Arabidopsis thaliana: one gene and its partners. The protein of the gene in region 2 interacts with the protein of the main gene of each other region in a pairwise test. Each region holds a gene or a part of one and is shown on either strand. Other genes may lie near its edges. The genes, in order: RR18, BZO2H1, ABI3 and bZIP2.

What was found.
Region 1: the proteins of BZO2H1 (region 2) and RR18 come close enough for resonance energy transfer, tested with the Arabidopsis thaliana proteins (one study listed by BioGRID).
Region 3: the proteins of BZO2H1 (region 2) and ABI3 interact in a two-hybrid assay, tested with the Arabidopsis thaliana proteins (one study listed by BioGRID).
Region 4: the proteins of BZO2H1 (region 2) and bZIP2 interact in binary tests that used the Arabidopsis thaliana proteins (3 or more experiments, as listed by UniProt).

The regions. Positions count from the first base shown.
Region 1 is NC_003076.8:23,500,020-23,508,101, forward strand, and holds RR18 (response regulator 18), read right to left. Parts: upstream 4,151-8,082; 5' UTR 4,132-4,150; coding exon 4,002-4,131; intron 3,913-4,001; coding exon 3,763-3,912; intron 3,696-3,762; coding exon 3,324-3,695; intron 3,195-3,323; coding exon 3,118-3,194; intron 3,022-3,117; coding exon 1,909-3,021; intron 1,832-1,908; coding exon 1,766-1,831; 3' UTR 1,586-1,765; downstream 1-1,585. Other genes in the region: YKT61 (SNARE-like superfamily protein), read left to right, coding at 59-109; TIL (temperature-induced lipocalin), read right to left, coding at 493-678, 763-1,137; AT5G58090 (O-Glycosyl hydrolases family 17 protein), read right to left, coding at 5,537-6,641, 6,846-7,174; AT5G58100 (uncharacterized protein), read left to right, coding at 7,809-7,877, 8,045-8,082. UniProt on the Arabidopsis thaliana protein: Transcriptional activator that binds specifically to the DNA sequence 5'-[AG]GATT-3'. Functions as a response regulator involved in His-to-Asp phosphorelay signal transduction system.
Region 2 is NC_003075.7:1,150,246-1,158,121, forward strand, and holds BZO2H1 (bZIP transcription factor family protein), read left to right. Parts: upstream 1-3,708; 5' UTR 3,709-3,785; coding exon 3,786-4,196; intron 4,197-4,284; coding exon 4,285-4,366; intron 4,367-4,712; coding exon 4,713-4,899; intron 4,900-4,980; coding exon 4,981-5,056; intron 5,057-5,132; coding exon 5,133-5,258; intron 5,259-5,347; coding exon 5,348-5,697; coding exon of another isoform or gene 5,698-5,701; exon of another isoform or gene 5,702-5,818; coding exon 5,819-5,840; 3' UTR 5,841-6,111; downstream 6,112-7,876. Other genes in the region: AT4G02620 (vacuolar ATPase subunit F family protein), read right to left, coding at 87-168, 825-887; AT4G02630 (Protein kinase superfamily protein), read left to right, coding at 1,438-2,916; AT4G02650 (ENTH/ANTH/VHS superfamily protein), read left to right, coding at 6,294-6,978, 7,057-7,876. UniProt on the Arabidopsis thaliana protein: Transcription factor that binds to the C-box-like motif (5'-TGCTGACGTCA-3') and G-box-like motif (5'-CCACGTGGCC-3'), ABRE elements, of gene promoters. Binds to the 5'-ACGT-3' motif of seed storage protein (SSP) encoding gene promoters (e.g.
Region 3 is NC_003074.8:8,993,926-9,003,548, forward strand, and holds ABI3 (AP2/B3-like transcriptional factor family protein), read left to right. Parts: upstream 1-3,444; 5' UTR 3,445-3,985; coding exon 3,986-5,665; intron 5,666-5,865; coding exon 5,866-5,958; intron 5,959-6,103; coding exon 6,104-6,204; intron 6,205-6,337; coding exon 6,338-6,384; intron 6,385-6,501; coding exon 6,502-6,578; intron 6,579-6,690; coding exon 6,691-6,855; 3' UTR 6,856-7,260; downstream 7,261-9,623. UniProt on the Arabidopsis thaliana protein: Participates in abscisic acid-regulated gene expression during seed development. Regulates the transcription of SGR1 and SGR2 that are involved in leaf and embryo degreening.
Region 4 is NC_003071.7:7,896,455-7,903,240, forward strand, and holds bZIP2 (basic leucine-zipper 2), read right to left. Parts: upstream 2,789-6,786; 5' UTR 2,350-2,788; coding exon 1,834-2,349; 3' UTR 1,558-1,833; downstream 1-1,557. UniProt on the Arabidopsis thaliana protein: Transcription factor that binds to specific DNA sequences in target gene promoters. BZIP2-BZIP63-KIN10 complex binds to the ETFQO promoter to up-regulate its transcription.

The DNA of each region.
Region 1 (8,082 bases), on a different chromosome or scaffold from region 2:
GGTAAACCATGTTTACTTCCAACATGAAAATCTGATTTGGTTGTATTGGTTGGAACAGATGTTTTACAAGCAAGCGAAGAAAACAAATTCATGCTGTACTATTCTGTGAGCTGGAAGTCCTGCTGGGTATATAGTCAACCAAACTTTTGCTGGGGGGAGACTGTTTTTTCTATCGTCTTATCTATACATATAATTCCGTCTGTAGTTTGCATGCATTATTTTGATTCCATAAGTCTCGAGTCGTGTGGTGTGTTTATCCAAATACATAATGTCAACTTCTGCAAGATTTGAATTGTCTTTCCCAGATTTGATCTGATTGAATTTGTGTGCGCTTCCTTATGGTAAAAGAGACGACTTTGCATAACTAGATGAAGATGTCGTAAATAGACAAAAGCAGATGATGGAAGATAACTAGAGTAGACAAAGGGGGTAGTATATTACACAGACAAAAGGATCAAAGAGGTGAAACAAAGTCTTTGTGTGCCGTGTAATCTATTTGCCGAAGAGAGATTTGAACCACCAAACGCCCTTGGAGTCTTCAGGGGCAGTGTTGGACTCAGGTGGTGTGTCACTCTGAGGAGTCTTGTGAAGCTTGCTGATGTCATAACCTTCCTCCACTGCCTTCTCCACCAGCTGCTTATACGTCTCTTCCTCCATTTGCGCCGTCCTGCTCAATATCTACACCACCCACATATACAGAGTCAATCATTTTTGGGATCAATTTCGATTATTCGTTAAAGAGAAAAAAAAAAGAGTACCAACCCAGAGATAACTCCTGGAAGGCTGGCCAATGAGAGCGTGCTGGTAGTCAGGATCGATGTAGAGCACCCAGTAGTCTCCGGTGACGGGAATGATTGGGAGGAAAGGAGGGACATAGAACTTGACTTTGAGCTTGGCTTCGTCGCTTTTAGGATCGGCCTTATAGGCGCTGCCTTCGATAAAACCCCTCTTCCCGTTGCTCCACGTTTCGTTCAAGACGTGTATGGTACCGTCGGGGTTAAGGGTGTAGGTGGCGCGAGTGTCGACGCCGTTCTTTGGCTGAAACCTTGATGGGAAAGAAGCAATCTCGTACCAACGGCCCATGTATCTCTCCACGTTGAGCCCTTTCACCACTTCCATCTCTTTCTTCTCTGTCATTTCTCTTCTTTTTCTTTTCTTCTTCTCTAAGATTTCGATGTTTTCTTTGAGGTAAAAGGATAAGAAGAGATTCTGTTCTTTATAAGGAAATAAAAAAATAATATCAAGGAGATTTCGCTGGGACGAGAGGATGCCACGTGGAAAGCGTGTAGGGCAAGGGTTCTAGTAGCGTCTAGCAGTTACAAATGTGAATAAAGGTGGAGGACACAAATGTCTTCCTTGTTCTGTGGGAAGAAGGATACAATACAATGGGCCATACAGTCACATTTTGATTTGACTTCCTCTAGCCGTTTCTAGGCCCCACCAAATTATCCTATCGACATCTAAATATCTCTTCTTGTTGACACTTCAAAATAGCTCCATATGTAAACCAACGATCTCAATTAGGCCCATTACTATTCGTATATTGGTTTTGAATAACAACACTTATTCAGAAACTTTATAAAATAAATTTTTGTAACAGGCTCGCTTTCAATTCCAATTCATAAAAGAGAGTATGAAACAGGTTGGTGTACTATGATCTATTGACAGTCGGAGGAAACAATGTGGGAAGAAATTTAAAAAAATCACATGAAAATGGTCTCAAGTGGAGAAACTTAATGCAACTGGTAGAGAAAGAGATGACTAGCTAAGGTGGAGGAAATGAATCAAAGCCAAATCTAGTAGCCACTGGCACCATTCCGTTATTCTCCTCCTGCAACAAACACATTCACTTTCATTTTCTACAAACTACAAAAGCTTTTAATCCAATCAAGAAAACAACCGCGTTACCTGTTTCATCATCTCATTCATTATGTCATCGAATACATCATGCTGGTTGTCATTCTCTGGCTTTCCCGACTTCATCTCTGGATCCAGCATTGTAGTAGCTTTTCCAACATACTCTTGACTGTTGTCTATTGGGTTCATCAGTGACTCATCCAAGCCTTTGCTTCTGGTTGAATTGTTGTCTCTGAAAACCATGTTATCTGCGGGTAGAGGATACTCAATGTTACCGAATGGATTGTTCAGCATGGTGCAGTTCTGTTGCTCCCATTTCTGTCCGCCTAACGGATTCACGTTCTGCATGAAGCCGCCAAGTAATTGAGGATCACACTGCATCTCTCCACCAGGATTCTCTGCAGAAACCAAAGAAGTACAATCTCCCAGATTGTTCCCTGCACATGTCACTTGATCCGGCAAGAAAGCAAGATTTAGTGGTAAGGAACTCGGTGGGAATCTGGTTGTGTTCAAATTCCCTTGCCAGCTATGACCAGGAAATCTAGATAAGCCTTGGAAACTGATGTTTGGGGAGGCAGAGTTGGACGGAGTTCCCTCGATGCAAGGCTGAATTCCATCTGAGGCTATATGCAGGGGTTGTGTATAGTTTGCTTGCAACATTAGAGGATTGGTGGAAGCACTTGGTAAAGAGGTGCTAGAGCTACCAAATGGCATACAAGTATCTAGGAAGCTACCGCCAATAGCTCTGTCCCCTAAGCCTTTAAAATCTCCAATGTATGACTTGCTTCTAGGAAACTGGAGGGGTTCTAGTGGAGATGAAGTTCGCTGAAACAGATTCACGTTCTGGATTCTTGGTGACAGAGTACTGTGATATGTTCCAAACGGATTAGCTGAATTGCTTGAGTTCTGGTGATGCCCCTGTTGGATGAAGCTGGAGGAGTTCATTCCTTGGAGATTTATCGATGAATACATAGGGGGTTGGAGTTTGGTGAGATGGGAACGCGATAAGAGTCCTGAGCTTGGAATTTGTCTTGCGGCAGTAAAATCTCTAAGTCCATCAAGTTGAGCCATCTGAAAGTAAGATGAATCTCTTGTTCCAAATGCATCTGGGGTCATATTTTGCTGCTGACCTTCGTCTATCTTTTTCAAGTACAGTCTGTACTTCTGCAACCAAAACCAGAGAATAAAACAAGTCTAACCATCCAAGATTATATTTGCGAAAGAAGGGGAAAAATGCAAGAGAGAATGGGGAATTAGTACCTGCAAATGACTGGCTACGTTTTCCCTAGTGAGACCTTCTATACTCATGAGATCAAGTATTTTTTTGGGAACAGCCTCTGTGATGAACACAAGGAGAAATGAAAAGAGGATCCCACACATGAAAGCATCAAAATAACTCTATAGGAGAAACAAGAGTGGACATCACACATAAGGAAAGGTTTAAAGAGGTCTATGGGGAAACTCACTGTCGAGGCCCAATTGCTGAACGGCACTGACAAACTTCTGGTGAAGCTCCTGAGACCAAACAACACGTGGCTTCTTCCGCGTACCTGACCCGTCACCATCCTGTTCACTCCCCTCACCATCATCCTCTTCTCTGTCACTGTCATCTTCATCACCACTGTCATTGACTTTGTCTTTCCGTTTCCTGCTGGCGCTTGGGACGGAATCAGATTCAGAAGGTGGGAGCAGTTTTGCGTAAGATTTAATGTTCTTCTTCACAACATGATGCCATATATTCTGAAGCTCCTTGAGTCCAACAGGCTTGACCAGATAATCGCAAGCGCCATGTATAATACCTTTCATAACGCTGTCATAGTCGCTATGAGCTGACAACACTGAGACAATGAAGCAGGTTACAATAAGGGCTAGAGTTGATATGAAAAACAATGGTAGGAGACGTACTGATGACAGGAAGGTCCATTTCAAGACCAATTTCAAGCAACTTAAAACCATCCGTGTCTGGCATCTCTACATCGCTTATCACCAGATCAAACATGTTGCTGTTTTCTCTCAGCATTTCCAGAGCTTTCCTCGACTCCATTGTCTTTGTCACTGGCGTAATCAATCAAACATCATTGACCATGCACCCCAATTCCGAAGCAGACAGGTAAAAAAAAACAAAAGCAAAGAATATGTAGTACCATGATACTTGCAACGAAGCAGCAACTCTTCGAGTTTCCGAAGGCAGGTTGGATTGTCATCCACAGCAAGAACCCTCATTCCTACAGGAAACTTGTCATGCCTTCCATCTTCAGTGCTTCCAAACTCCATATTTGATGCAATACGTTTGCAAGTCTCCTCTCTTCAAAGGAATATAGTACATAGACTAAAATCTGATCTGTTTTATTCTTAAAACCTCAAGTTTGGGACTAGAAGAAGACCATAGTCCTCCTATAGACAAATGTAAAAAGATAAAGACGAGTGGCCCAAAAGAGAGAGTGATTACGCGGTTAATCTGGCCCTTAATTCTCCAAATAATTAGAAATTTCCTTCTGTTTCTGCTCATATTTCCATAAATGAGGACGTGGAGAGAGTCACATGTTCCTCTAATTTCTCTTTTGTTGGTTGAATCTTGCCTTATCTGAGCACAAAAGACAAACTTTTCGTAAAGTGAATGTAAATGTCCCCATTTTGTTTCCTTACTCGCAAATAAACGTTCAAACCCAACGTTTCAACCTTTCCTGGCTTTCCTTATATATATGCATTTCCTATTTTCCATAGAAATGTTTTTCCTTTTTAGTCTTCTAAGTGAATGCACCAAAACAAAACAAAAAAAATCTGATTTTTGACATAACGCGTATGGTCTCAGTTCCAAAAAAAAAGAGAATTCGACAAATGCAATGGACTGACCTGATCACATTCAGGCATTCGAATCCGTCGACTCTTATTACTCCACATTCTTAGTCAATCGTCATACTTGTGATTACTCTGCCATTTTCTTGATTATTCTATCTGAAATCACAACCAATGTGAAAACTGCGTCACAGATGATTGTTGCTGATGAGTCTCCAACAGTCTTAACTTTATCCATCACCAAACCCTTGGAACTATGCACCACTCCAAAAAATAGTCTTTGATCTGATTTCCACTACCACAGAGACTTATTTTCCAGTTTCCTTCCATTTGAAGAAATCGACAACTCTGTGATCTTCTTATACTCAGATTATTATTACCATTCGATTTCTTCAAATGGAAGGAAACTGGAAATAAGTCTCTGTGGTAGTGGAAATCAGATCAAAGACTATTTTTTGGAGTGGTGCATAGTGCCAATTGGACTCAAAGATTAAGAAATTAGATAATCGTCTCCTAGTTTCCTATCTAGAAGAACGAGAGCAAGGAGAAAGGGAAACTTCATATGAAGAATTGGAAGTTGTACAAATCTGTAGTACTATAGATGTCTAAAACAACAAAAGGACAGTCTCTCCAGCATTTATGAAACAGAGCTCCAGGGAGAAAGAGAGCGCAATAGACTTTCCCAACTACTATAGTACAAATTCAAATGCTCATTTGGGCCTGATTTATTGAACATGGCAATATGGCATTGTTTTAAGGTCAGTTTGGTCCCAGAAAACAGCTCTAATAATCACTTGGTCTAAGGAAGAGAAATCAGAATTCAAGAAGAAAAAAAAATAGTTCAAGCCATCACACAGAATTACAAATTGACAAGAAGAAACCATCAAAAAATAGAGACTGCGATGGCTGCCACCATCAGTAGTGGGAAAAAGAACCCGTGTTCCCGGGCTGCCCCACCGTAGTAAGGTTCTATCATAATCGGAAATCTGCAAGTTCCAGTAGATGGATCTGTCTTGGTCACCTCTGATATGTTTGGGAACTTACAAGCTGTATCAAGCTGATCCTGTATCTGATAATAACTGTTGAATGCATACGATATGTTTTGTTTCCCGTCAAGATTAGCACAGGACGTCCCAACCCCAAGACTAGTACAGTCCCCAAGGCTACACGCGTAGCTCACGGCTGGAGCTACCTGCGGATCATCCAACCTCACATTTGGCTTCATCACACACCACTTCCTCTCTAGGTAGCGTACCCCTTTGGCCTGGATCAGAGCTCCTGTGTTCGTTGTCCCTAGGTTCAAGGCATATTTTGGTAAGCCGTCAAATGTGAATATCCCCCAGTGTCGCTCAAAGTATCCTGGCTGAACACTCTTGGCGTCCTCGTCTATCAAGCTGAACAGGTATGCATCGATAGGGCCAGGTCTCCTCGGAGTCCCTTTCCCCCCTGAGATGTGAGCCATAAAGCCTTGGTTGAACTTCTTAGCGTAGTCCAAATTCGCATTACTGTCCCCATCAGTAGGCCAACCAATTTCCCCAATAATGATAGGCATGTTACCAAACCCATTCTTCTCCAACGCGTGGACTAGGGTGTCGTAATTTGCATCAAACATGTTGTAATAAAAAGTCCCACCATCGTTCAGGGGCTGTGCATTGCCGTCAAAGAAGGCGTAATCAACTGGGAAATCGGGGTTGGTGTAAAGACTGATGTAAGGGTAGATGTTAACAGTGAAAGGACCGCCATTTTCGCTCAAGAACTTGACGATAGTGATCATGAGGTCACGGATATTGGCCCTGAAGTCCCCTCCAGAAGGAAAAGTGGTGGAGCTGTCATAGACATCAGCGTTCAAGGGACAAGTGACCTTCACTTGGTTCTGAAGGCCAGCCTTTATAATTGCAATTTGGATGTTCCTCAACGCAGGGAAAGTAGTACTCAGATAGCTCCCATTATAAGTAGACAAGAAAGGTTCATTCCCAACAGCCACATATCTGTCCAACAACCAAATCACAGCATCAATTTAGCACCTACTCTAGAGATTTGTGTAGAATTATCTCAGAAAAAGACAGTAGCCCGTAATTTCAGGCATGGCTAGTAACTGTTTAGGGAATCCAAACTCAGTCACTGATTCCAATTAACCAGCTAGTACAGTACAAATGTGAAACCCTAATAAAGGAAAGAAACAGAGGAAGTACCTGATGTTGACGTTGTCGGTGGAGATGTGAGTAGAGACATTTTTAGCAACCCATTTCTCAGCAGCTTTCAGGCTAGAGGCGAGAGTCGCAAGCATCTCATTGGGAATACCAACCATGACTTCGATTCCGGATTTGCCCAAAGCTCTGAGAGTGTCGTATTCGGCGTCAAAGAGCTTTACTTTCTGAATACCATTCTCTCTTAGCATCCGCACAACTATGTCCGGTGGAAGTGGGTGCGACGCCTGTGTGCCCCAGTTAGCTCCGATTGAACTTGCCCTCTGACAAAGAAGAGCCACCGCCAGTAATAGCAACACCGAACCCCAACCCATCTCAGGCTCGCCGATCTGACTCTTCGTTCACCAAAAAAGCTATACAATTATTAAACACTGAGCTTTGAGCTGCGAGCTTAGCTGGTACTATTTCCTCCAGACCAGTGGGTTTTAAAGCGGCCACGCACGAGCGAGTGCCGCTGCTTTTTGGCAACCCCATAACGACAAAAAATGACACGTAAGCTACGCGTCAAACGATGTCTTTAAAGTCTAAACTGTTTTAGTTCGGTCTTCTCAAAAGTCATTACGGATAATGTGGGCTTTTGTATCACAGGCCCATATCTTGAAAATAATCAATCAGTTTATATTGTCTCTTTAGTGCTCTCATAGAGTCATTACGGATAAGGTGGGCTTTTGTATCGCAAGCCCATTTCTTGAAAATAATCAATCAGTTTATTATATTAGTCAATGTTATTTAAATTCATTGAAAATAATCAATCAGTAAGACTTTTTTTTTTTTGGTTGAGAACTTGAGACGGTAAGAAAATATTGGCTAATCGAAGGCCGGAAAAAGAAATCTGTGGAAAGACAAGAAAAAACGAGCACAGTGGCCAGTGTGGGAATTTTTGCTGGACGAGAGAGCAAAACCCTACTGCGATTTATCGACTACTAGGAGAAGAAGAAGAAGAAGACGATGCGGAGATTCGGGGCTGGGAACAGATCCGTTTCCAAGCTCGTACTCACCATTTGTGTAGCTATCCTGGTACGATCCCTTCGTTCGATCTGTCGCAAGATTAGTATTTGATCAAAACCAAATTTGAAAATTGATGATGAGCTGCGATGTTATCTGTTAATGCTTTTGTTTTTAAACTCACCTTTCTCTTTCTCAATTGAGTTTGCGTAATTTGTTTGATTGATTTCGTGGCTTAGTTCATACCATCTCTATCGTATGGAGCTTCACAAGGGAA
Region 2 (7,876 bases):
TACCACTTTGAGATAAGTGACATAACTTGATTCATGATTGAAAAGATTATCTTTCCTCAAGATCATATTGAGTTAGAAAAACATACTTGAATCCACGATGAGGTAATTTGTCTTCCTCCTTATGTCAACATTACCAACTCCAGCCATCAAAAATCCAACAACAGTGTCCTGTACACAAAATTTAAGTCTTGTAAGTGGCATTGAAGATTGCTAAAGGGTTATATCAACGGATAGTTCCAAACAATTCTGCCACCATTGGCCAATTAAGTGTCTGCCAGTAACAAGTCGTTGTACAAGGAAGAAAATGCAAGTTAAGTCTAAAATAAGAGACTAGACATGATTTTCTGATAGAATACAATGGAGTAAATCCAATTGTTAAGCCAGAACAGTTGTGAAGACTAACATTAAAAAACCTAAACCTCTTGTTATTCAATGTTAATACAGTTTCTAGGAAGATTTCTACTCCTTAGTTTCCTGATTCGTGCTGAAATCAAAATTCAGTAATAGCAGATCAGATCATCTGCAGATTTGGTCTGATCCCAAATCAAGAAATACACAGAACTACGGACAAAGCTATTCTAAGGCTTGAATCACTACCAAAAAGATTAAAAATTCCACAAACAAATCCAAAAAGTCAAGCAGTTTACGGATAAATAAATCTATACAAACAACGCATTGATTTAGTTCAGATCACATCTCAGAGATTCAAAACTCAACACAGAAGATCCAAATGAAAAATCAAAATTATCTAAAGAATCAAACTAATGGAACCTCAAATCCTTCATCAACATATAAAAAGATGAGTTTTTTGGTAACGAATTTACCTCATCGGCGATCATTGCGATGAGGGCAGAGTTGCGAGCAGGGATCGTAGCTCTCCCAGCCATATTTGATTCAACTACACACGATAAACAATTCCAGAACAAAAATCAATCCAGCGAAGAAGACAATTATCGAAATTGGGTAAAAACCCTGATCAATTCCTGATCTTAGATTCGAAGATAAAGCAAAAGCTCATAGATTTTACTCATTACCTCTTTTTCTCTGTTCTTCTCTCCTTCTTCGATTTGATTTGATAGATAGATTTGTGTAAATCACAACCAAAGACCACGCGCAAAAAAAAAACTTGTTCAGAACACGATTCAATTGACAATATTACCCCTGACTATACCTTTAATAACGATACTACCCTCCTTTAATAATTGCTCATTAACAGTAAAAGTGGCAAAAGTGTAAATATATACTAAAAATAATGATGAGTGCAAGTCCCATCAAAGCCAGCTTGCCTCTTCGAGGGTACGTTTGTCTTTTCGACATCTCTTTTCTTGTCTCTACTTCAGAAAAACCTCCTGTGATGATTATTATATGTGAAGCAGAACAAAAGCAAAAAGAGAGAGTCAGAGGAAGAAGAAGAAGAAGAAGAGTCAGTGAGCTGCAATGGCGGATTCTCACTCAGTCAACAATCAGCTCTCGAGACACACTTCCATTTTTGGTTTACGTTTATGGGTTGTTCTCGGCGTTTGCGTTGGAGCCGCGATCGTTCTTTTACTCGTTCTCATCTCTCTCTGGTTCATTTACCGACGAAGCAACAAGAACAAATCTCTTGAGTCTTCTTCTAAATCTAACCATACGATTGTTCCCGTTGTTTCCAAGGAGATTCAAGAGATTCGACCTCCAATTCAACCCGACCCAACACCGGAGCCACACCAAAACCAACAAAGAGAAGACGATAACAAAATTCACATCGAAATTGGTAAAGATCATCGGATTGCGTACCCGGAACGAGGAGGTTGGACTGGTTCCGGGTCTGGGTCCGGGTCGGGTGATCAGGGTTTACTTATGTTGTCGGGTCCTGAGGTTTCTCATTTAGGTTGGGGACATTGGTATACGTTGAGAGAGCTTGAGGTTTCTACTAATGGATTTGCTGACGAGAATGTGATTGGACAAGGAGGTTATGGGATTGTGTATAGAGGTGTTCTTGAGGATAAATCAATGGTGGCTATAAAGAATCTGCTCAACAACAGAGGACAAGCTGAGAAAGAATTTAAAGTCGAAGTCGAAGCTATTGGACGCGTAAGACACAAGAATCTGGTGAGATTGCTTGGTTATTGCGTTGAAGGAGCTCATAGGATGTTAGTTTACGAGTATGTTGATAATGGGAATTTAGAACAATGGATTCATGGTGGTGGTTTGGGGTTTAAGAGTCCTCTTACTTGGGAGATTAGGATGAACATTGTTCTTGGAACAGCCAAAGGGTTAATGTATTTACACGAAGGTCTTGAGCCTAAAGTTGTTCACCGAGATATTAAATCGAGTAATATCTTGCTTGACAAGCAATGGAACTCGAAAGTTTCTGACTTTGGGTTAGCTAAGCTCTTGGGTTCGGAGATGAGCTATGTGACTACTCGTGTGATGGGTACGTTTGGGTATGTGGCTCCTGAATACGCGAGTACCGGAATGTTGAATGAGAGGAGCGATGTTTATAGCTTCGGTGTTCTTGTTATGGAGATTATTTCAGGGAGAAGTCCTGTGGATTATAGCCGGGCTCCGGGAGAAGTGAATCTTGTGGAATGGTTGAAGAGATTGGTGACGAATCGAGATGCGGAAGGAGTTTTGGATCCGAGGATGGTTGATAAACCGTCGTTAAGGTCATTGAAGCGTACCCTTTTGGTAGCTTTAAGATGTGTTGATCCTAATGCTCAAAAGAGGCCAAAAATGGGTCATATCATTCATATGCTTGAAGCTGAGGACTTGGTCTCTAAAGATGATCGGAGAAACTCTGGAGGAGGAGGAGGAGGAATAGAACAGGGAAGGTCACCGCGGAGGAAGACAAATGTGAATGAATCAGAGGATGAGAGTGGTAATTCTGTTCTGATCAACAATGACCAATTAGCTTTGGAGAATAAGCAGAACTAGTAAAAAAGAAAGAAGCTTTGGCATTATAATTTTGTATTACTATTTTTAGAAGTTTTTTCTTGTGTGTGTATATTTATGTGTGTAGATTCTTAGCCCTTTCACAAAAAAAAAAAAAATGTGTGTAGATTCTTGTAATTTTGCAATAATTAAAACTGGGGATTGCTTGAAAAATATATATATGGTTTGTTTTTTTGTATTCTTTTGGTTCGTTCTCTATTGTAATATAGCCTACATAGTGGTGATTTGTGGTATTGGTGACACTATGTTAAGGTCAAAAAGAAATAGAGAGTAAATTCCATATATATGAAAATTGAAAATGACTGTTTAAATTTACATATGGCGCGAAAAAATGATCTAGTTCGTTAATTATTTTTAGAAGCTTTTTGTGGTAAATTTAGATTTTTAAAAAACTCCATATATTTTTTTTTTATAATTTAGGCTTGTCTATTGTAAATTTGTAATATAGCTTAGTGATTTATTTGTTTAGCTTCTGGTGACATTTTATAAATTTTTAATGACCAGTATAATATAGTATTTTTTTATAAATTAAAATATAATCTAATGTTTTATGTCAACTTCGTTGTTCATTGAATAAATCAAACTTTGAAGAATAATTAAATAACAATGTTTGCAAAAACTGTTACGTTTTTTCATGTAAACATTAGTGGACGTTATACAATAGATATTTAAATTATAAAAACTATTCAAAGAATATTGTAAAGAAATAAAACAGAAATGTGTAAGAAAAAATGTTTATTTTATTGTACGTAATAAAAAAAGAGAATATACTTGTGTGGGTGGACCTAAATGCAAATAGGCAAAGTACCGACAAAAAAAGAAGAATCAGAAAGTGAAAAAGAGAGCGAGCGATGAACAGTATCTTCTCCATTGACGATTTCTCCGATCCTTTCTGGGAAACTCCTCCGATTCCTCTCAATCCCGACTCTTCTAAGCCTGTTACGGCGGATGAAGTTAGCCAGAGTCAACCGGAATGGACTTTCGAGATGTTTCTCGAAGAGATTTCTTCGTCGGCGGTGAGCTCTGAGCCACTTGGTAACAACAACAACGCGATCGTCGGTGTTTCTTCGGCGCAATCTCTTCCTTCTGTTTCCGGACAGAATGATTTCGAGGATGATAGTCGATTTCGTGATCGCGATTCGGGAAATTTGGATTGTGCTGCTCCCATGACGACGAAGACGGTGATTGTTGATTCCGATGATTATCGTCGTGTTCTTAAGAACAAGCTTGAGACTGAGTGCGCTACTGTTGTTTCTCTTCGGGTGTGTTGTTAATCTTCTATTTTTCTTATCTATATGTGTAATTTGTGCGTTTTGATCTAAATCTGAAGCTCTGATGTTCTCTTCTTAGGTTGGGTCTGTGAAGCCTGAAGATTCGACTAGTTCTCCAGAAACTCAACTTCAACCAGTTCAATCCAGTCCTCTTACTCAAGGTAAGAGTCTCTTCTTAGTTTCACCAGGATAGATGAGCGATGATAAACCTGCAGATTCGTTTCTCTGTTCTGTGTTTGTTAATTTAGATGCCTAGGTTAAGGAATTAGAAATAGAAAATGGTACTTTTGTTGGATCAAGCGCCTAGTTTTATCCGTCAAGTTTCAATCTTTTTGTGACTGACTTTCTCATTGAAATTAAACTGCTTTCTGGAAGAACAATAAGCTTGGGATTGAGATGAGTTCTGGTGGTTAGTTCAATATATGGGAAATCATTATTTCAGCGCTCGTCTTTCTCTTTCAGATATCTCTTCTGAGTCTTAGACATAGTAAGTTTTAATCGTGGTAGGTTCTTTGATGACCCCAGGAGAACTTGGTGTTACTTCTTCCTTACCAGCTGAGGTGAAAAAAACTGGTGTATCAATGAAGCAGGTTACTAGTGGATCGTCGAGAGAATATTCTGATGACGAGGACCTTGATGAAGAGAATGAAACCACCGGTTCCTTGAAGCCAGAGGACGTTAAAAAATCTAGAAGGTAATCATTACTTTTTCTCCAATTTCTTGTCGTTTGAAGATTACATTTATAGAGCCTTGTTCTTCCTTTTAATATTTGTAGGATGCTGTCAAATCGTGAGTCAGCTAGGCGATCTAGAAGGAGAAAGCAGGAGCAAACAAGTGACCTCGAAACACAGGTTTTGTGTTGTATCCTCTCAACACCTCATTTTTGTGTTGAAGGATATTAATGAGACCTAATTTGTATTTTGATAGGTTAATGATCTAAAAGGTGAGCATTCATCACTTCTTAAACAACTGAGCAACATGAATCACAAGTATGACGAGGCTGCTGTTGGCAATAGAATACTAAAGGCTGACATTGAGACATTAAGAGCTAAGGTAAGAAGACTTAAGTATTATCCTCCTCTCCTTTTTCTGAACTACCCTTTTTTTGTATACAGTTTTAGTAACTCCCATGTTATGTTAAGGTGAAAATGGCGGAAGAAACCGTGAAGAGAGTAACAGGAATGAATCCGATGCTTCTCGGAAGATCAAGTGGACATAACAACAACAACAGAATGCCAATAACTGGTAACAACAGGATGGATTCTTCTAGCATTATTCCAGCTTATCAACCACACTCAAACCTAAACCATATGTCAAACCAAAACATCGGGATCCCAACCATTCTACCTCCAAGACTCGGAAACAATTTCGCTGCTCCTCCATCCCAAACCAGCTCTCCCTTGCAGAGAATTAGAAATGGGCAAAATCACCATGTTACTCCAAGCGCCAACCCGTATGGCTGGAATACCGAACCTCAGAACGATTCAGCATGGTAAGCTAAAACATGGCTCTTTCTTTTAAGACCATTGAACAATTTAAAACCATTTGAAGTACTATGATCCCTGTTTATACATATCAGATTCCTGTCTCCCCTTTTTTTGCTCATTTTACAGGCCGAAAAAATGCGTGGACTGATCAAACAAGAAGCGGGTTTCGCACTATATTAATGTCTATGCATCTGTAATTTGTAAGTGTTATTAAGTTACGAATCATGAGAAAACATCTTGTGAAAATACAGTCTCATGGCTTATATATATATATAAGCTCTGTCTTATAACATTACAAGATTCTTATTTGAGAATCGTCTTTCTATTTATAGCTAATAACAGAGTGTATATCTGTTTTTATCCAATTTTAAAAAAGATAGCTCACATGGCTTTACTAATTTCCCCTATCATTAAATTCCGACAACCTCGGCGATTTCCATGGTAGATCGATCAAGCATTCACATTTTCTCGTCAGAAAACACAAAAAAAAAAAACAGAGGAGAAAAAGAGACGACGACAAACAAGTGAAAGAAAAAAGTCGTCGTTCTTCCAATTTTTTTCTCCTCTCTCTTCCTCTGTTTAACGGCGTACGTAAGTCAAAATGGGTTCAAGTAAGCTAAAACGTGCCATAGGAGCCGTGAAAGATCAAACAAGCGTAGGATTAGCCAAAGTCGGTGGTCGAAGCAGTTCTTTAACGGAACTCGAAATAGCTGTCGTGAAAGCGACGCGACATGATGACTATCCAGCGGAGGACAAGTACATTAGAGAGATTTTATGCCTAACTTCTTACTCACGCAATTACGTAAGCGCTTGTGTGGCAACTCTCTCGCGACGGCTCAACAAGACCAAGAACTGGTCGGTTGCTCTCAAAACCTTGATTTTGATCCAACGGTTGCTAACAGATGGAGATAGAGCCTACGAGCAAGAGATCTTCTTCGCGACGAGACGAGGAACGAGATTGCTTAACATGTCTGATTTCAGAGATGCGAGTCAGTCTGATTCGTGGGATTACTCTGCTTTTGTTCGGACTTATGCTTTGTATTTGGATGAACGTCTTGATTACCGGATGCAAGGAAGACGAGGGAAAAAAAAAAGTGGTGGTGGTGGTGGCGGTGATGGTGATTCCGGCGAGGAAGATGATCATCGAGGGACAAGCAACGATATTCGGTCGAAAGCTATTGTGGTTAAATCTAAACCAGTCGCAGAGATGAAAACAGAGAAAATCTTCAACAGAGTACAACATTTACAACAGCTTCTTGATCGGTTCTTGGCTTGTCGTCCAACAGGTAATAATTAATTTCCTTGGAACACACGCTTTTCCACTTTCGGATTTCTTGGTTAATAAGTTAGGTCTTTTGCAACAGGTAATGCGAAGAACAACAGAGTGGTGATTGTGGCTATGTATCCGATAGTAAAAGAGAGTTTTCAGTTATACTACAATATAACAGAGATCATGGGAGTATTAATAGAGCGATTCATGGAATTAGACATTCATGATTCCATCAAAGTCTATGAAATCTTCTGTCGAGTTTCTAAACAGTTTGACGAGTTAGATCCGTTTTACGGATGGTGTAAGAACATGGCAGTTGCAAGATCTTCAGAGTATCCAGAATTGGAAAAGATTACACAGAAGAAACTTGATCTCATGGATGAGTTTATAAGAGATAAATCAGCTTTAGCTGCACAAACAACAAAATCATCATCAAAAAGGTCTAACAAATCTGAGGAGGAGGAGAGCAAAACAGAGTATATTCAAGAAAATCAAGAAGATTTAAACTCCATCAAAGCATTACCCGCACCGGAACAGAAAGAAGAAGAGGAAGAAGAAGAGAAAATGGAAACAAAGAAAGATGTTGAAGAAGTGGTTTCAAGACAAGATCAAGAGGGTGATTTGCTGGATTTAACAGATGAAGCGGGTGTAACGGCAGGAACGGTTGGTGATAGTTTGGCGTTAGCGTTATTTGATGGTGTCGTTGGGACCGAGAGTGCGTCTGGACCGGGGTGGGAAGCGTTTAACGATAATTCGGCGGATTGGGAGACGGACTTGGTGAGATCGGCGACAAGATTGTCGGGACAAAAGAGTGAGCTCGGAGGAGGATTTGATACTTTGTTGCTTGATGGAATGTATCAGTACGGTGCGGTTAATGCTGCGGTTAAAACGTCTACGGCTTATGGAAGTAGTGG
Region 3 (9,623 bases), on a different chromosome or scaffold from region 2:
AAAACGTAGTTATTGGCGGACAAGGGATAAAGATTGCTTTGAAGTCAGAAATGCTGACACGTGGCAGCATATGAAGACAACCCGCCGCTTAAAACCACGAATGGTGACGAAAGGCTTCTTTGTTTGCATGTGCAACCAATCTCTCTCTTTCTCTCTGTCTTTACTAATTTTGGTTGTTCGTAGAAAATGAAATATTTGAACGAAGAAGATAAAGGTTGGTGATGTACGTATGACTCTAAATTAGAGTTTGATAATTTGTATGTAAGATTAGATCGGTTTTGTTATTTGCTTGATCCAATTTATTGAAGTACATGTGAATAATCGTGATATATGTCAATATATATGTGCTATAATTAAATCTATTAACAAATTTCTTTTTATCGATTTAGTTACACCATCTTTAATATATTTCTATTTTCTATTTTAAACTAAAGCATAGTTTCTCCAATATATTAATTTATATATTTACTCTAGGATAGAATTAGATTCAAAAACTAGAATAGAGAATATAGATGCTCTAAATAGACAATAATTCTATTACTTACTCTATTTTAGAGTAAAACATATAGTGATGCTGACAAAAATATTATTTTATAATAGAGTTTAGAAAGAAAAGAAAAAACAAAAAAAACTTGAAGATGCTGGAACTATTAAAAATTAAAGAAAAAGTTTAAAATGAATAATGCTTTTTATTCTTAGTTTTTTTTTTCTTTTTTTTCTTTTAGTTGATGTTAAAGTTTTAGTCAAATCTCCAAAATTTGCAAAAAAGATACATTAGTTACGGACGGATATATATTAAATAAATTAAGTCACAAATATCATATATATATATATATATATTAATTTTTTGCCTAGTTTTGTTCCAAATAAAATTTTCAATTTTTAGTGTACAATATTTTTCATCGTCCAAATACACAAACACAACAAATAATAATACCACTAATTTATTTGTTTTCTAATATAATTGAACCTTTTCTAATTTTATTAAATAGGCTGAAAACCATAAATTATTTGGAGCCAAGATTAAATTATGTTACATAAATCCTTTTCTCGTCATCAATACTCAAATTTAAATTTTTTTATTTTCATAGATATTTTTGGGAATTTAAAATCCTTCCAAATAAATTTGGGAAAATAATAGATGTTTTAAAATATTTTTGTTATTTTCGAGTAGTTTACACTGATTTTACATCACTTTATGGATCAAGACCATAAAATTTAACTACATTTATTATAACTTATTTGAAAAGACATGAAACTTTCATTAGAGTTTAGGAAAATACGGCAAACTATTAGATTATCACCCTCTTGTGACTAATGTTAATACTATTTGGTAAAGCAAATAATCCCATAACTAATTTTATTTTGATTTGTTCACTATCAATTGTATCATAGACGATCCGATGATTAATGTACCTAAATTTTGATTTAAATTGTATTCCTTGTAGTACGCATAGTAAAACAAAGTTCACATGTTCTTTTACAATTGGTTTTCTAACATTTTAGATTTCATTTTAAACTAAAGAAAAAGGGTTTTTCGATCCCAACAATTTTTAAAGTATGTTTTTGAATTTCAACAAACGACTAGTACTGATATATACATCAATGCTTACAAAAATCAAATTATCTATCTCAACGTTTACTTTTGTACGTAATTACAAGTCAATATTAACAAATATTAGTCAACTGTAACGGTTGTTGACTCAATTGATACGTGTACGTTTAGGTGGCATGTTTTTTAATAAAATAATTTTGTTTTATGTTTTGGGATTAAAAATATTTACTTTTAAAAAACTAAACCGAAAAACTGGAACCCCCAACCTCACATATTCATCACCATCGTATCCACAAACATTATCGAGACATAAATAATAATTTATAGATATATAGCAACAAATTGGAATTAAATTAATCAAACAATGTCATTTAGAATTGGGGAAATCCTAACCGACGTTATATGATTAATTTTAATTCCAATTTATGTATGTGTATATATCTATAAATTATTATTTATATATTGATGATGTTCGTGCATGATGGTAATGGTAACCTTTAAAACTTTTGAATCTCAAAACGTAAAACAACGTCATTTGGTTTGAAGAACATGCCATCTCGACGTACAAGTGTTAGCTGATTCAACAACCGTTACTGTTAATTACCATAACTAACGTTGACTCATAATTATGTACAAAAGTAAGAGTTGAGGTAGATAATTTGAATTTTTTAAATGTTAAAGTATGAACATTACTAATTGTTTGTTCAGATTTATAAAACACAGTACCTATTTTGATGTGTTAAAATGTAATCGGGAAAATAGGAATTTTCCCAAGAAAAAAAAATACACTAAAATTTTGATGTGTTAAAATGTAATAAATACAAGTACCTATTTCTTTCTACAACAGGTATCACATGATCTGCTCAATCTCATTTTGAAGGCAAGGTCGAACCCTGTTTGTAACTAAATATTTTACAAATACACTAAAAGTTTTGTTTTGTTTTCCTCATGCAGAAAAAAGAAAAGAAAGAAGAAGAAAAAAAACTCACAAAAACATACATTGTTCTACAATATGTTAAAGTAATTGTTCTAGGGTAATAAAATCCGTGTCTGCCTCTTCCACTTCAATAGGAAAGTGTAAGTTTTTCGAATCTTTTTGGCCAGATAATTTAAAACCGACCGAGGAAACTTACTTTTGTAAAAGTGACCATTTGCACATAGGAAGTAGAAAGTTGATAATTGGAAAATTTATAATATTTTATACAAAAGAAGTGTTTAAGAACCACCGCTTGGTCTCACCACTCAAATTCGAACGTATGGCTCGTGGGCACAAACTCCTGTACCAACCTTTAGATACTAGCGGCACGAGGAGACTTCTATTTTCTCTTTGTTTTTAAGTTTTTTTATCGACTTAAATATGGCTTTTTGCACCATTTAATTTCAAAACCAATGTCTTTCTCTCGAGGAACTTTGTTTTTATTTCTTAGAAGATGAGGGGAGATTTACTATCTAAATAAAATTTTAAATGTTTGTAAGTATTATGAGCTCAACAATTTTGTCAATAGTGCCACAAATTTAAACGTTTGCTTTTTGTCTTCTTTGAAAAATCAAATGCTGAAAAACTGTTACATCTCTTTTTCTTAAAAACTCTTGTCTCTCTCCTTTTCCTTCTGCTGAGGTAATTGAATGCTGCAAAGAGAAAGAGAATAACTTAAACCCAAAATTACACTTACCGCCAGAAAAAAAAAAGAGTTCAGTTTAATCTAACATATTTTATACAATACAATTGAATTATATTAGTAAAAAAAAAACTTCCATATAAATCATGGAACAAACTGGAACACATGGGCTCTCTTATTTTAATTTATTTTCTTTTTTGAGGGATTTAACCATGTTTATTATATAGTTTTATAAATATATATATACCATCTCTCCATAATTTATAAAATGAAAGAAAGAGAGAGTCTTCTTGTTGGAGTAAACCCAAACGGTTTTAGATTACTTATTAGCTGTTCATCAGTTCTTCCTCTCTAAAAGAGTAAAACCTAAACATCTCTCTCTGTTCTATTAGAACCAAAGACCAATCTTTGTGAACAAAACACATCTCGTATACTTCAGATCTAGACTCGAAAATTTTAGACCTCTTTACAATTGGTCTTTGTTCATCTGAAGTTGGAGAAAATAGTTAGCTTAGGTCGGATCTTTTCATATGCTTTGGATCCTCCTTCGTCTCTTTTGTATAATTTTAACCTTATCAAGAGTTCTTTTTGAATCTCAAAAGATTATATAGTAGTATAGAAGGTTTATATGTATATGTATAGCCAGATAGTTTATGTTGTTTAAAGATTCGATGATAGCCAAGTTGGGTTAACTTTCTTTTTCCTTGCCTCCTTACTCACATACAAACCCTATCTGTCCGTACAAAATACTAAAAACCCTAACTTTTCTCTCTCCACCAATCTAGTTTATTGTTTCATTTCCACTTCAACGATGAAAAGCTTGCATGTGGCGGCCAACGCCGGAGATCTGGCTGAGGATTGTGGAATACTCGGTGGAGACGCTGATGATACTGTTTTGATGGATGGAATTGATGAAGTTGGTAGAGAGATCTGGTTAGATGACCATGGAGGAGATAATAATCATGTTCATGGTCATCAAGATGATGATTTGATTGTTCATCATGACCCTTCAATCTTCTATGGAGATCTCCCAACGCTTCCTGATTTCCCATGCATGTCGTCTTCATCATCGTCTTCAACATCTCCAGCTCCTGTCAACGCAATCGTCTCCTCAGCCTCTTCTTCTTCGGCAGCTTCTTCCTCCACTTCCTCAGCTGCTTCTTGGGCTATATTGAGATCAGATGGAGAAGATCCGACTCCAAACCAAAACCAATACGCATCAGGAAACTGTGACGACTCTTCTGGTGCATTGCAATCCACAGCTTCCATGGAGATTCCATTAGACAGCAGTCAAGGTTTTGGTTGCGGCGAAGGCGGTGGTGATTGCATTGATATGATGGAGACTTTCGGGTACATGGATCTACTTGATAGCAACGAGTTCTTTGACACCTCAGCTATATTTAGCCAAGACGACGACACGCAAAACCCTAACTTGATGGACCAAACCCTTGAGAGACAAGAAGACCAGGTCGTTGTTCCGATGATGGAGAATAACAGTGGTGGAGACATGCAAATGATGAATTCTTCCTTGGAACAGGACGATGATCTCGCTGCTGTGTTTTTGGAGTGGCTAAAGAACAACAAGGAGACTGTGTCGGCTGAGGATTTGAGGAAAGTAAAGATAAAGAAAGCTACGATTGAATCAGCGGCAAGAAGACTAGGCGGTGGTAAAGAAGCGATGAAGCAGCTTTTAAAGCTGATTCTTGAATGGGTCCAAACTAATCACTTACAAAGAAGACGCACCACCACCACCACCACCAACCTCTCTTATCAACAATCATTCCAACAAGATCCATTTCAAAACCCTAACCCTAATAACAACAACCTAATCCCACCGTCCGACCAAACCTGTTTCTCACCTTCAACATGGGTTCCTCCACCACCACAACAACAAGCTTTTGTCTCGGACCCGGGTTTTGGATACATGCCTGCTCCAAACTATCCGCCACAGCCAGAGTTCCTTCCTTTACTTGAATCTCCACCGTCATGGCCACCACCACCACAGTCTGGTCCCATGCCACATCAACAATTCCCCATGCCGCCAACCTCGCAGTATAATCAATTTGGAGATCCAACAGGTTTCAATGGATACAACATGAATCCGTACCAATATCCTTATGTTCCTGCAGGACAAATGAGAGATCAGAGATTACTCCGTTTGTGTTCCTCAGCAACTAAAGAGGCAAGAAAGAAACGGATGGCGAGACAGAGGAGGTTCTTGTCTCATCACCACAGACATAACAACAACAACAACAACAACAACAATAATCAGCAGAACCAAACCCAAATCGGAGAAACCTGTGCCGCGGTGGCTCCACAACTTAACCCCGTGGCCACAACCGCCACGGGAGGGACCTGGATGTATTGGCCTAATGTCCCGGCAGTGCCGCCTCAATTACCGCCAGTGATGGAGACTCAGTTACCTACCATGGACCGAGCTGGCTCAGCTTCTGCTATGCCACGTCAGCAGGTGGTACCAGATCGCCGGCAGGTAGACATGCACAATCATCTTTCTCATTGTTTATTCTTTAATTTAGCAATACTCGAATAGTTTGTGTAATTGCACCACTCGTTTGGTTTGATGAAGAAGCTAAAGATTTTACATGTGTTTTTTTTGATAAAATGTGAATCGGAAGATTATACATTTGCAATGGAAATGAAATGATTTTGATCTTTTTGGTTTGATTTTAGGGATGGAAACCAGAAAAGAATTTGCGGTTTCTCTTGCAGAAAGTCTTGAAGCAAAGCGACGTGGGTAACCTCGGAAGGATCGTTTTGCCAAAAGTAATTTTTCTTCTAATTTCTTGTAGCCTTTGCTTTCCATTTTCTAAAAAAGGTTCAATGTTTGTGTAAAAATATTGTCAAGTTTTTATTTTATTTTTACTCTTATTGGTTAAGTTATATTTTACTGAATTTTTATTTTTTTTAGAAAGAAGCTGAGACACACTTGCCGGAGCTAGAGGCAAGAGACGGCATCTCTCTGGCCATGGAAGACATCGGAACCTCTCGTGTTTGGAACATGCGCTACAGGTAACTGATTATGATGCTAACATGTTAACATTGATTCTTTTTATAAAAACAATTCGTGTATTTTGTCAAAAATTGGAACTCGACCAAAATGTTTTTTCGGTTATTTAATTGTCTTCTTAAATTGGTTTTGCAGGTTTTGGCCTAACAACAAAAGCAGGATGTATCTCCTCGAGAACACCGGTACGTTTTTGAAAATGTACCCGTTAATAATTTTCCTTTCTTTTGGTTTGTTTGTTCTCTTGTAATTATTGTTGTGGACGCATACATATCTAATTTTCCTTGAAATTACGTTTACAGGCGATTTTGTGAAAACCAATGGGCTCCAAGAAGGTGATTTCATAGTCATATACTCCGACGTCAAATGTGGCAAATATGTAAGAGAAGCATCACAATATTTTTCTATACTTTTCATTAGTATTTAACTCTCATCATTACTTTTGTTGGTATTTATCTTGTCATAATTAATTGAGAATAATATTATGACAGTTGATACGAGGGGTTAAAGTAAGACAACCGAGCGGACAAAAGCCGGAGGCCCCACCGTCGTCAGCAGCTACGAAGAGACAAAACAAGTCGCAAAGGAACATAAACAATAACTCTCCGTCGGCGAATGTGGTGGTCGCTTCACCAACTTCTCAAACTGTTAAATGAAAAACAGAGACAAAAAGAAACAATATAAATATTATTATGTACCAAATAAGAAAGAGGGCAAAAGGAAAAAATGGCAGCGTACCCGAGTGTGCCACTTCTCGTGCATGCATGGGATCTTGAAGACAAATGGAGGGTCATGATTAAAGCTGTTTGGTCGGGGTCCGGGTTTTTACTCCATTTTTTGCTTTTTCTTGTCGAGTCGGTTCTTTTATAACTCTTTACTCTTTTTACCTTCAGGATATTGTAGAGATGATTAATTCTGGAAATGGTGTTTGTGTTATATTTCTGGAGAGATGATTATATAGTTCTTTTGTTGTTGTAATTGGTTAATATTACATATGTGGCTCATTTCTTGAGTCGAGCTTACATATCGTTTATAATGTGAATGTTTTAAGAAGAGTTGAATGATACAATATTTTTACACAAACATTGATAATGATAATAAAAATGATAATTAATGTACAAAATTATTTGTAAATATGGACATATGGACAATTTAAGAAGGAATTGAGATAATTAATTTTGTACATTAATTATCATTATCAATGTACAAAATTATTTGTAAATATGGACATATGGACAATTTAATGATAGTAAAAATGATAATTAATGATAATTAATGTACAAAATGATAATTAATGTACATATGGACATATGTACAAAATTATCCATATCATTCACATATTCACATTGTAAATATTTGTAAATAGAATGTTTACATATGGACATTTTAAGAAGAGTTGTTCCTTACCACTTTGATTCTATCATTTTCTTGTTTATCTAGTTAGCTTGAACCCTTTGTATTATTGAGTAACGAAAATCTTTGGAGGAAAAAAACAAGTGAGGTAGGATTATAATTTTCCTCATATAAGTGTGTTGTTTGTGATACATCATTATTCTTTCTTATTTTTGGTTAAACCCAAAAACTGGACCGCACCTAAGGAATTGAGATATTCAAAAAAACAATGATCTGACCCGTGCCAAATATCCACACCACACCTTTCTCCATTCAGGCCCTACTAGAAAGCCGTGAGACGGTTGACAACTTGAAAACAAAAGACTTATAATGAGACTATGAGAAACAAAAAAGAAAGTGGAGTTGATGAAATAATCTGATCTTATGAAAGTGAAGTTGATTACAAAAGGAGCAGCGTGGTAGTTGAATAGTTTCAGATGTTGATAAAGACGTGACATACATAGTTGTCTCAGTAATCTAATCAAGGACTCCTCATGTTTCTAACTTCTTCTTCTATAAAGTTGCATGAGATTTATATCTGGAGAACATATATTGCTCTAATTATGTGGTCTTATTATCATCAATATATGCCTTTTTCTACATATGAATATATGATCGACATGTATAGATATTTTTTGTTGTTCAAAAAAAAAAAATGTATAGATATTTTTTTCATTTTCCAAAAGGATTGAATTTCGAAATGGTGTAGCCACCTTAGAGGTATACAACAATAAATAATTTTCCCGACTTGTAACAAATGTTTGGAACAAAAGTGTCAATTAGAATCAAAGTAACCATCAGATGCCTTTTATAAATTTCTTTATCTATGATTATTTTTTAACCAAATTCAGACACTTCTATATTACTAAAAGCCAAACTTGATATCTATTTCAACAAAAAAATTTTTTTTTAGTCTGCTGTGACTCAGTATATCTAATTGTTTTCACATCATTCATAAACTTTTACTAGTCCATTGTAAAATACAGTATATTAGAAATTGTTTTCCTATCTATATATGCTTAGGTTTAAGAAAACAACTTTTGGCCATGAATATTTGAGTTTTTAAGTGGTTTTGGATTATAGATTTTGCCAAAAGGAAAAAATATTGATTTAAAATTACAAAAAGAAATCTGCAAACAATTATCAAAAACTCATTAAAGTGGGATTTATTTTTCATTTTGTTTACAAAAATGCGAACTCTAATCTTGATTGGATAATTAAATGGGTTTTTGGAAAACCAATAACTATGCTATAAAGTATAAACTACTACCATTCAAGCCTTCTATTTTTCTATGCCAAAAAATACTACGCAAAAAAAATTGAGCGTGTTTGATCCAACAATAAAACAAATTACTCAATCTTGTTTGATGTCAAAATCCAAATCCAAAATATGTTTCGGACACCTGACCGGTCTACTCGATTGACACCCCTGAAATTTCGAAATAGACAATACACAAAAGGACATAGACAACATAACTTCATCTCACTTAGATATTCACATTTCCCATTTTTCAAAATATTGGCTCTTCATTTTCTGTGTACTTCCAACAAATTGTCTTCTAGAGAAACCAAAACTATCTAAGATTTCTCCACCTTCTCCATCATCCACCGTTGATTCACTCATCTCATGTCTCCAATGACTCATCTACGGTCAAGATTCAAGGAGCATGAAACATCCCATGAACCAAATTACACAAAAACATTTACCTTGATAAAAAAACATCATTTTATTATTTTGGCAGAAGAAAAAGTCTTAATTCGAACTTTGAGCGTGCTTATAGTTTAATCAATTAAAGTTATAAAGAAAAGTAACTTTATAAATTCAGGAGTAATCAGTAGATTTATACCATTCTTGTCCATCGCTTTAAGCCACACTTGATCGGACGGTAAGCAATCAATCCGGTTTACACTTTCTGATTATAAAGATTCCAACTTTTGGTTATATCGGACGGTTAATAATCAATACGGTTTGAGTTTAAATCATAGCCGTTGAGATGTTTGACTAAAGTGTTTACAAAGTAGTCAACACTCT
Region 4 (6,786 bases), on a different chromosome or scaffold from region 2:
TCCCTAATATATCGACAAAACGGTATTAAATCATGGACTATCCACGGCATGGTGTAGAACTTAATATTATCGAAGATACAACACTGTATGTGTCATTTATCCATAATCCTTGTTTGTTGCTTTATTACATTTTGTTTTGTTCCATAAAAGTTATCTTATTTCAAAAAGGCGTACAAAAGTGTTTTATTTATGTGTATTGAGGTGAAAAATGCGAAATGCTTATGAATCACATGTGTACCCATCAGTACACTCTTCTGGATCTTTAACACAGGCAAACAAACAAAAGTGCTCATTCATATATAGGCATACCTAATAATTGTCTCATGTCATATACGAAAAATAATAGCCCATCGTTTGTGATGAGATCATTTATATATATATATATATATATATATATATATATATATTGAACAAATCAGAAGAAACAGCCAATAATTTTCAGCAAGTGTAAAGCTTCACATATACGAGAAGAGAATAGGACATCCAATAATGATTATTTTTATTTTGTTGGTGTTTATATATCGTTTTCATATATGTCTTCATATAACATAAAGTTAAGATTAAAATCGTAAAGACACAACACCAACCTTTTTATATATAATAAGATTCAAAAAGATAAAGGATAAACATAAACCATATTCACTCACAATAATACAAGTGTACCGTAAATATGGAAATGTTTGAAGTCACGGATTAAATTCGTGTTGGAAAAAGTTTGCTTTCTTAAAAAAAAGAATAGATTACGTTCATATGCCCTGACCCTGAAACATCTAATATTAAAAAAAAAAATATAGATTATATAATATACACAATATATATCTATAATACAATATATTCATAGAGATTCTTAGAAAAGATAAATGCAAAAGCAATAAAACTAAATTGACGTTATATGTTTTCTTGGCCACATATGTAATAAATACAAATAAATCTTCAAGATACCATCATTAATATGAACGTTTTGCGTTCGTACAATAAACTTTATCACTGGTGTTATTACATTTGAAAAAAAGGAAAAATCATTGAATTTTAAATTTATGTCCTTTTGTATGAATGATACTTTTAAGCAAAAATGTTTGACTGACGAAGGTTTTAATACATTTCTAAATAATTATCATACACCTAAGATTTGCTCATCTGTGTTTTAACTAAAAAAACCATAATCTTATATTAAAATGATGGGTTCTTGCAACAAAACCCTCTAAACATATAAGCATCATATATATGTTTGAAGATCTTTTATTTTTCACATACATTATGATAAATTTCTCCTAGTCGCAAGGAACTCTATTTGTTATATAATTGATCATTATTTAGCACTTACGTTGCTGACAACGAATTATATTACAGGTGAAATTTGACTTGGTAGATTTGACATGTTATCTAGAAGTTCCTTTTTATTGTTATTTGCAGAAAAACCAAAACTTAATTGTAAATGCAGCTTATATATATATATATATATAATCATCAATCCAAAATGTGATTTTTTTCATTCTTAAAAATTACCAATCCAAAAAGTTGCTTTTCTCGAAGCATAAACAAACCATTATCCGAATAAACAATTGGAATATTAAGGTGAAAGACAAAATCATGATAACATAAACATATATAATCATATAATTATAACAAAACACACACCAATACATGACAAAGTACAACTCATATATATATGCCCCAATATATATATAAAGTTTATATTTATCCTTCCAACCAATCAAAGATGCATGTACTATAATTACATCATCACACCAACCCAAAAACACCAAAATGGGCTAAATTTTAAAATAAAAAGACAAAAAAGGGGCATCTAATTATTTTAATTAATTTTATTAATCAATACATATTGATATCATTAGCCATAATGGGTTGGTTAGTGTAAACCGAACCACCCCAATGATTAACATTACTCATCATATTCATATCATCGTAATATCCGTCGATCCCAACCGTACGATCATCAAAACCACAGCCGTCGATCTGGTCAACACCAAATCCTGCACCGTTGGATTGAACAAGATCAACGATCTCGTTGAGAGATTGGAGTCTGGTGCTAAGCTCCTCCATCTGAGCGGTGAGAACAGAGTTCTCGGCTTGGATCTTCATGTAAAGCTGAGATGTTACGGTGAGGCTGTTCAAGATCTGACGGTTGTCGTTTGATAGCTGATTGATCTGAGCCGTTAGATCATCAACGTGTTTCTGTTTACGCATCCTTGACCTACGTGCAGATTCTCTGTTCGATAACATTCTTTTACGTTTTCGTTCGTCGACGGTGACGACGGAGTCCGACGGGTTATTATTACCACCGTCGGAAGAGCTTGAGCTCCGGTATGTGCTGCTAGATGACGCCATTGATTTTTAACAAGAAAAGTTACAAGAAGACAAAAAAAGGACAGAGTTTTATGTTTTATGTTTGGTTTTTTTTTATGATCTGTCTGAAAAAATTAATTAGAGTTTGTAGCAATTCATGAAACGTTGTAAAACCAGTAGAGGAAGACGACGGAGAAAGATTGAACGAGATGGGTTCTACGGCAGAGAGCAGATTTGACCGTGAGCCCAGAGAGCAGGATTTCGCAGAGAACGGGAGTCATCAGTTTCCGATCATCAAAAGACTCAAATTTTTATGTTTTCTCGGTCTGAATTTATGATGTCAGAACTTGAAAACAAACAGAGGAAGAGTTTTTTTTTTTTTTTGGTTATTGGAGAAGAAACAGAGGAGCTCTAAATATAAAAAAGAAAACAGCAGAAGATTTTTAAGGAGATAAGGAAGAGAAGATGAGTGAATGGGAAAGAGGTTTTTGATGAAGGGTGTGTTATGGATTATATAGAAACCAAATCTCAAGCATCCACTTGTGTCTTTTTAATTTATTTTGATTTTTTGGGAAATAATGGATGGTGGGGAAAGCTGGAATCGTTTACGCGCCCATTGTTTTATCATTTTTATTTTTTACTAACAAAATGATTCATTATAATTTTATTAAAAAAAATATGTAGGTCAGTAGGTGGATGTTGCTTTTTTATTTTTTTGGTAATGACACTTTACTTTTTGATTGTTTTTTTGGTATTCAAAAGAAAAATATTAATGGTAAGTATAGATTTGTGTGGTTTAATGGTGTGATTAATGATATGTAGTAGGATAGACAAATAGGTAGGTGGTAAAAGTTGACCAGATATCAAGATTAAAAAGAGTGAAAACTATTGAAAATAGTCAATGTCTTGAAAATTGCATGTAGTCAATGTAGGAATTACAGAAAATCTTTGATAATTTTTGTTGCCATTAATTCAGTCAATGGCTTTGAATATTTTGATACATACAATTGGTGAATTAAAAGTGATATCAAATAGGAAGGTGATAAATTTAATAATTTTCCAACGAAATAAAATTTTGTAAAACATTATTTCAGCCAACATTTTAAGAAAATATAGAATATTTAAAAATAAAATTTAAAGTATGTGGATTAAGTAAATTCATGAGGATTTGTGGGATTGATATGTGCTCTGATATTTCAATCTAATACAGTAATTTCGAGCCATGTGATTGATATCAAAATTTTGAATTTAGTAAATGATTTCGAACTAAAAATGTTAGTATCTAATTTGTGTGTACTAGATCATTGTTGTTCGTCTTAATTATTGAAAAGTCTCATAAAGTGTTTGTACGAGTTGTTGAATTTGTTTAACACAAAATAAAAGCTGATCTTACTGAAGGTAAGAACTAAAATGAAACGAAAACTGTCACAAATTGTTAGAAAAAGTTATAATATAGTTATAAGAGATAAATCTGAAGTATGTTTCTAATTATTTATAAATTGTTACAAATCCAATGAATGTCTAATACATGTAACACGTATCATTAATTCATATTCTACAGATAATGTTTACTCCATTTTCAAAATAACTACACTACATCATTTGTAATAATTTCAATTGATTTACTAAATTTTCATATCTATAAAAATGGATTATTCTTTTCTTATTGGTAAAGACACACAAAAAATATAAGAAAATAAAGCACTATCATCATCAACATCATTTCTTTATTTGTATATCTTTTTGTTTACAATTTTAAATTTAATTCTATAACATTTTACAACACTTATCATTACGCGTTTTAATTGTTTGAGCTTTTGAAATTCAACTTCAGAAAAATTTCCTGTGACGAGTCTAACGGTCGGATAATCTTTATATTGATCACAATTGTTTGATGAATAACTATAAACATACATTAAAACAATACTACAGGCAAATTAATTAATAAAACCTTATATTAAAAATAAATTACATATAAATAATAAAAATTAAGTGATAAACCACAATTCAACCAACTCCTTTTCTAAATGAAACAATATGTAAAAATGTAGAGAATTGAAAAGTAATCAAGAACATGAACAACAACAACCTTCAATATTACACCGAATTTTTGTGGACAATATTTTGGTTGTTTTAAAGATTCGAGATCAAATTTACCTAAGTTTTATGAACAAAATGTTATATATGAAATTATAGAATATGTTTTTAAAATGCTCTAGAAACACTTAACAATGTAAGTTGATCGTTTTATCATACGTTATATATATATTTTAAATTATATCATTGATCATATTTTAAATCTAAATTTTGATACAGCGATGATATTAACCAAGGAAATTATAATTTAATAGTACGACTTCAAGTATTTCATAGTTTTTATTTTCTTTTACACGAGTAATTATTTTTATGTCGGCACACCACGCTGAGTAGTAATTTTTTTTTTTTTCGTCCCACGCTGAATAGTAACTTATAGCGGGTAAAAAGGCTAGACAAATTTAATAATTTCCCTTCACCTGAGACAAAATTTATTTACCGTTGGTAGTTAATTTAGTTACCGTTAGTAGACAACTTTCATAATTTCACCGCCTACAAAATTTAGACAACAACAGTGCACGACACCGTCTTTGACGCAGAATCTCTTTTGTAGATCTGCACCGTACGAAACCACGTGCATTGCACAATCCATGTTCTCAATGAGCGGCTCTTAATACACGTCAAAGTTCCAGTTTTAATTTAAACCTAATTAATTATGAGATTGGCGAAAGAAAAATAATTAAGTATTAAACATATATAAATAAAGGTGATTAACACTTAACCTCTAAGCAGATGCAGGGGACAATAAGCACATGGGTCCATATAGCTCATCTCTTCTGGAACTTCATAGCCATTTTTTAATTGTATAAAATATTGATAATCTATCAAAATCAGTCCCTAATCGATGATGAAATGACGACTAATTTCTAATTGGCCATTAGTGTTAGGTAAAATCACTCAAACATAAGTTTATTTAGAAAGATATGTAAAATACATTATAAAAAAAAGATATACAAATTAGTAAATTTATTAATTTAAGACGAAAATTATAGAATATAATTTTTATTTTCCAAAAAACCATCACAATCTTTTTTAAATAAAATTTCTTTAAAAAAGGCTTTGTAAATATTTTCTGGTATTTAAAGAAAAGTACGGTTTTAAAATATTTCCCACAATTTAATTCTCCACCATGTATTCGGGGAATCTTTCTTTGTCAGAAATTGTATTATTGTTATATATTCAAGTTTTAAGTGTTTTGCTTTAATGAATGACGTCCCGGTTTACGTATCAAGTTTTAACAATGGAAAAATATACTAACTAGGTTTTCATGATAATAAAGTTAAGACAATGCAAAGTTAGGTCGGAAGGGGCCATCAAAATATGGCATAACACTCCTTTAAAACATTTTGTTTAATGTTCGAATGGTTCAATTCTTTGTTAAGATTTGTGAAAGTACCACTAGCATATCCACTTTGCAAATTAGATATAATTAAAATCTGCATGTATGGTCATGTTAATAGTAATATATAGGCATTAAGCAACATTATAATGTAGATTTCTAGTACTGTTCACGGATGCGATAACTTCAGAAGAAAATACTTGAATACCAAAAATAAAAAGAGAAAATTTCTCCTAGATTTTTATCGTTTTAAGTGATTGAACATTTAAAACGCTTACAACAGAATACATACCTAATTTTACCTGAGAGTCAATATATTTATTCACAAAAATTAGTCTTGACTCTTGTATAATAGTATTAGACAAGGTTTTATAAAAAGTCTACAAAAAATGGGCTGCGTAATGAGTCACAAATTGTTAGCTTCCAACTTTGAGAAAGAGAAGCGAATAGTGGAAATATGAGGAAAAAAGTAACTGTTAAAATAAAATTAAAAAAGTAAAGTCACTGCATGCAACCACAGCCCATAGGTCAGACCTTAAATTGGACCATTCCTTTTTTAAGAAAATTAATTTCTTAATTAATTTAAAATTGGTAAAAAATGAGATGTCAAATAGAATTTAATCTCACTTTAATGTGAGGTATTAATATATAAATATCTCAATGATGTAATTGATGAGGAATATTCCCAAACAACGATTTGTTTTATATTCATTGAACCTCTTTGTAAAAGTTTAAACATGTAATGGGCATATCAATGAGGTCACTTGTCTATGATTATTGAGTTGATTAATTTATAAATGACTTATAAGTCAGCATTTTCGGCACATTAATAATTACTTCGAAAGCTTTATTTATTTATTTTGTTTGTCTCCAACCAAAATGAAAACTTATATTCTTACAAGTGAAATTATTAAGCTTAGCATAAATATCGATAGGGCATACTCCTTTACTTTCTTTCTTTGGGGCAGATGAGCATACTCGAAAATTAATTTATAGTGATTCATTTTGAAGACGGTCTATTATAAGCTGCATACCTAAAAACATTC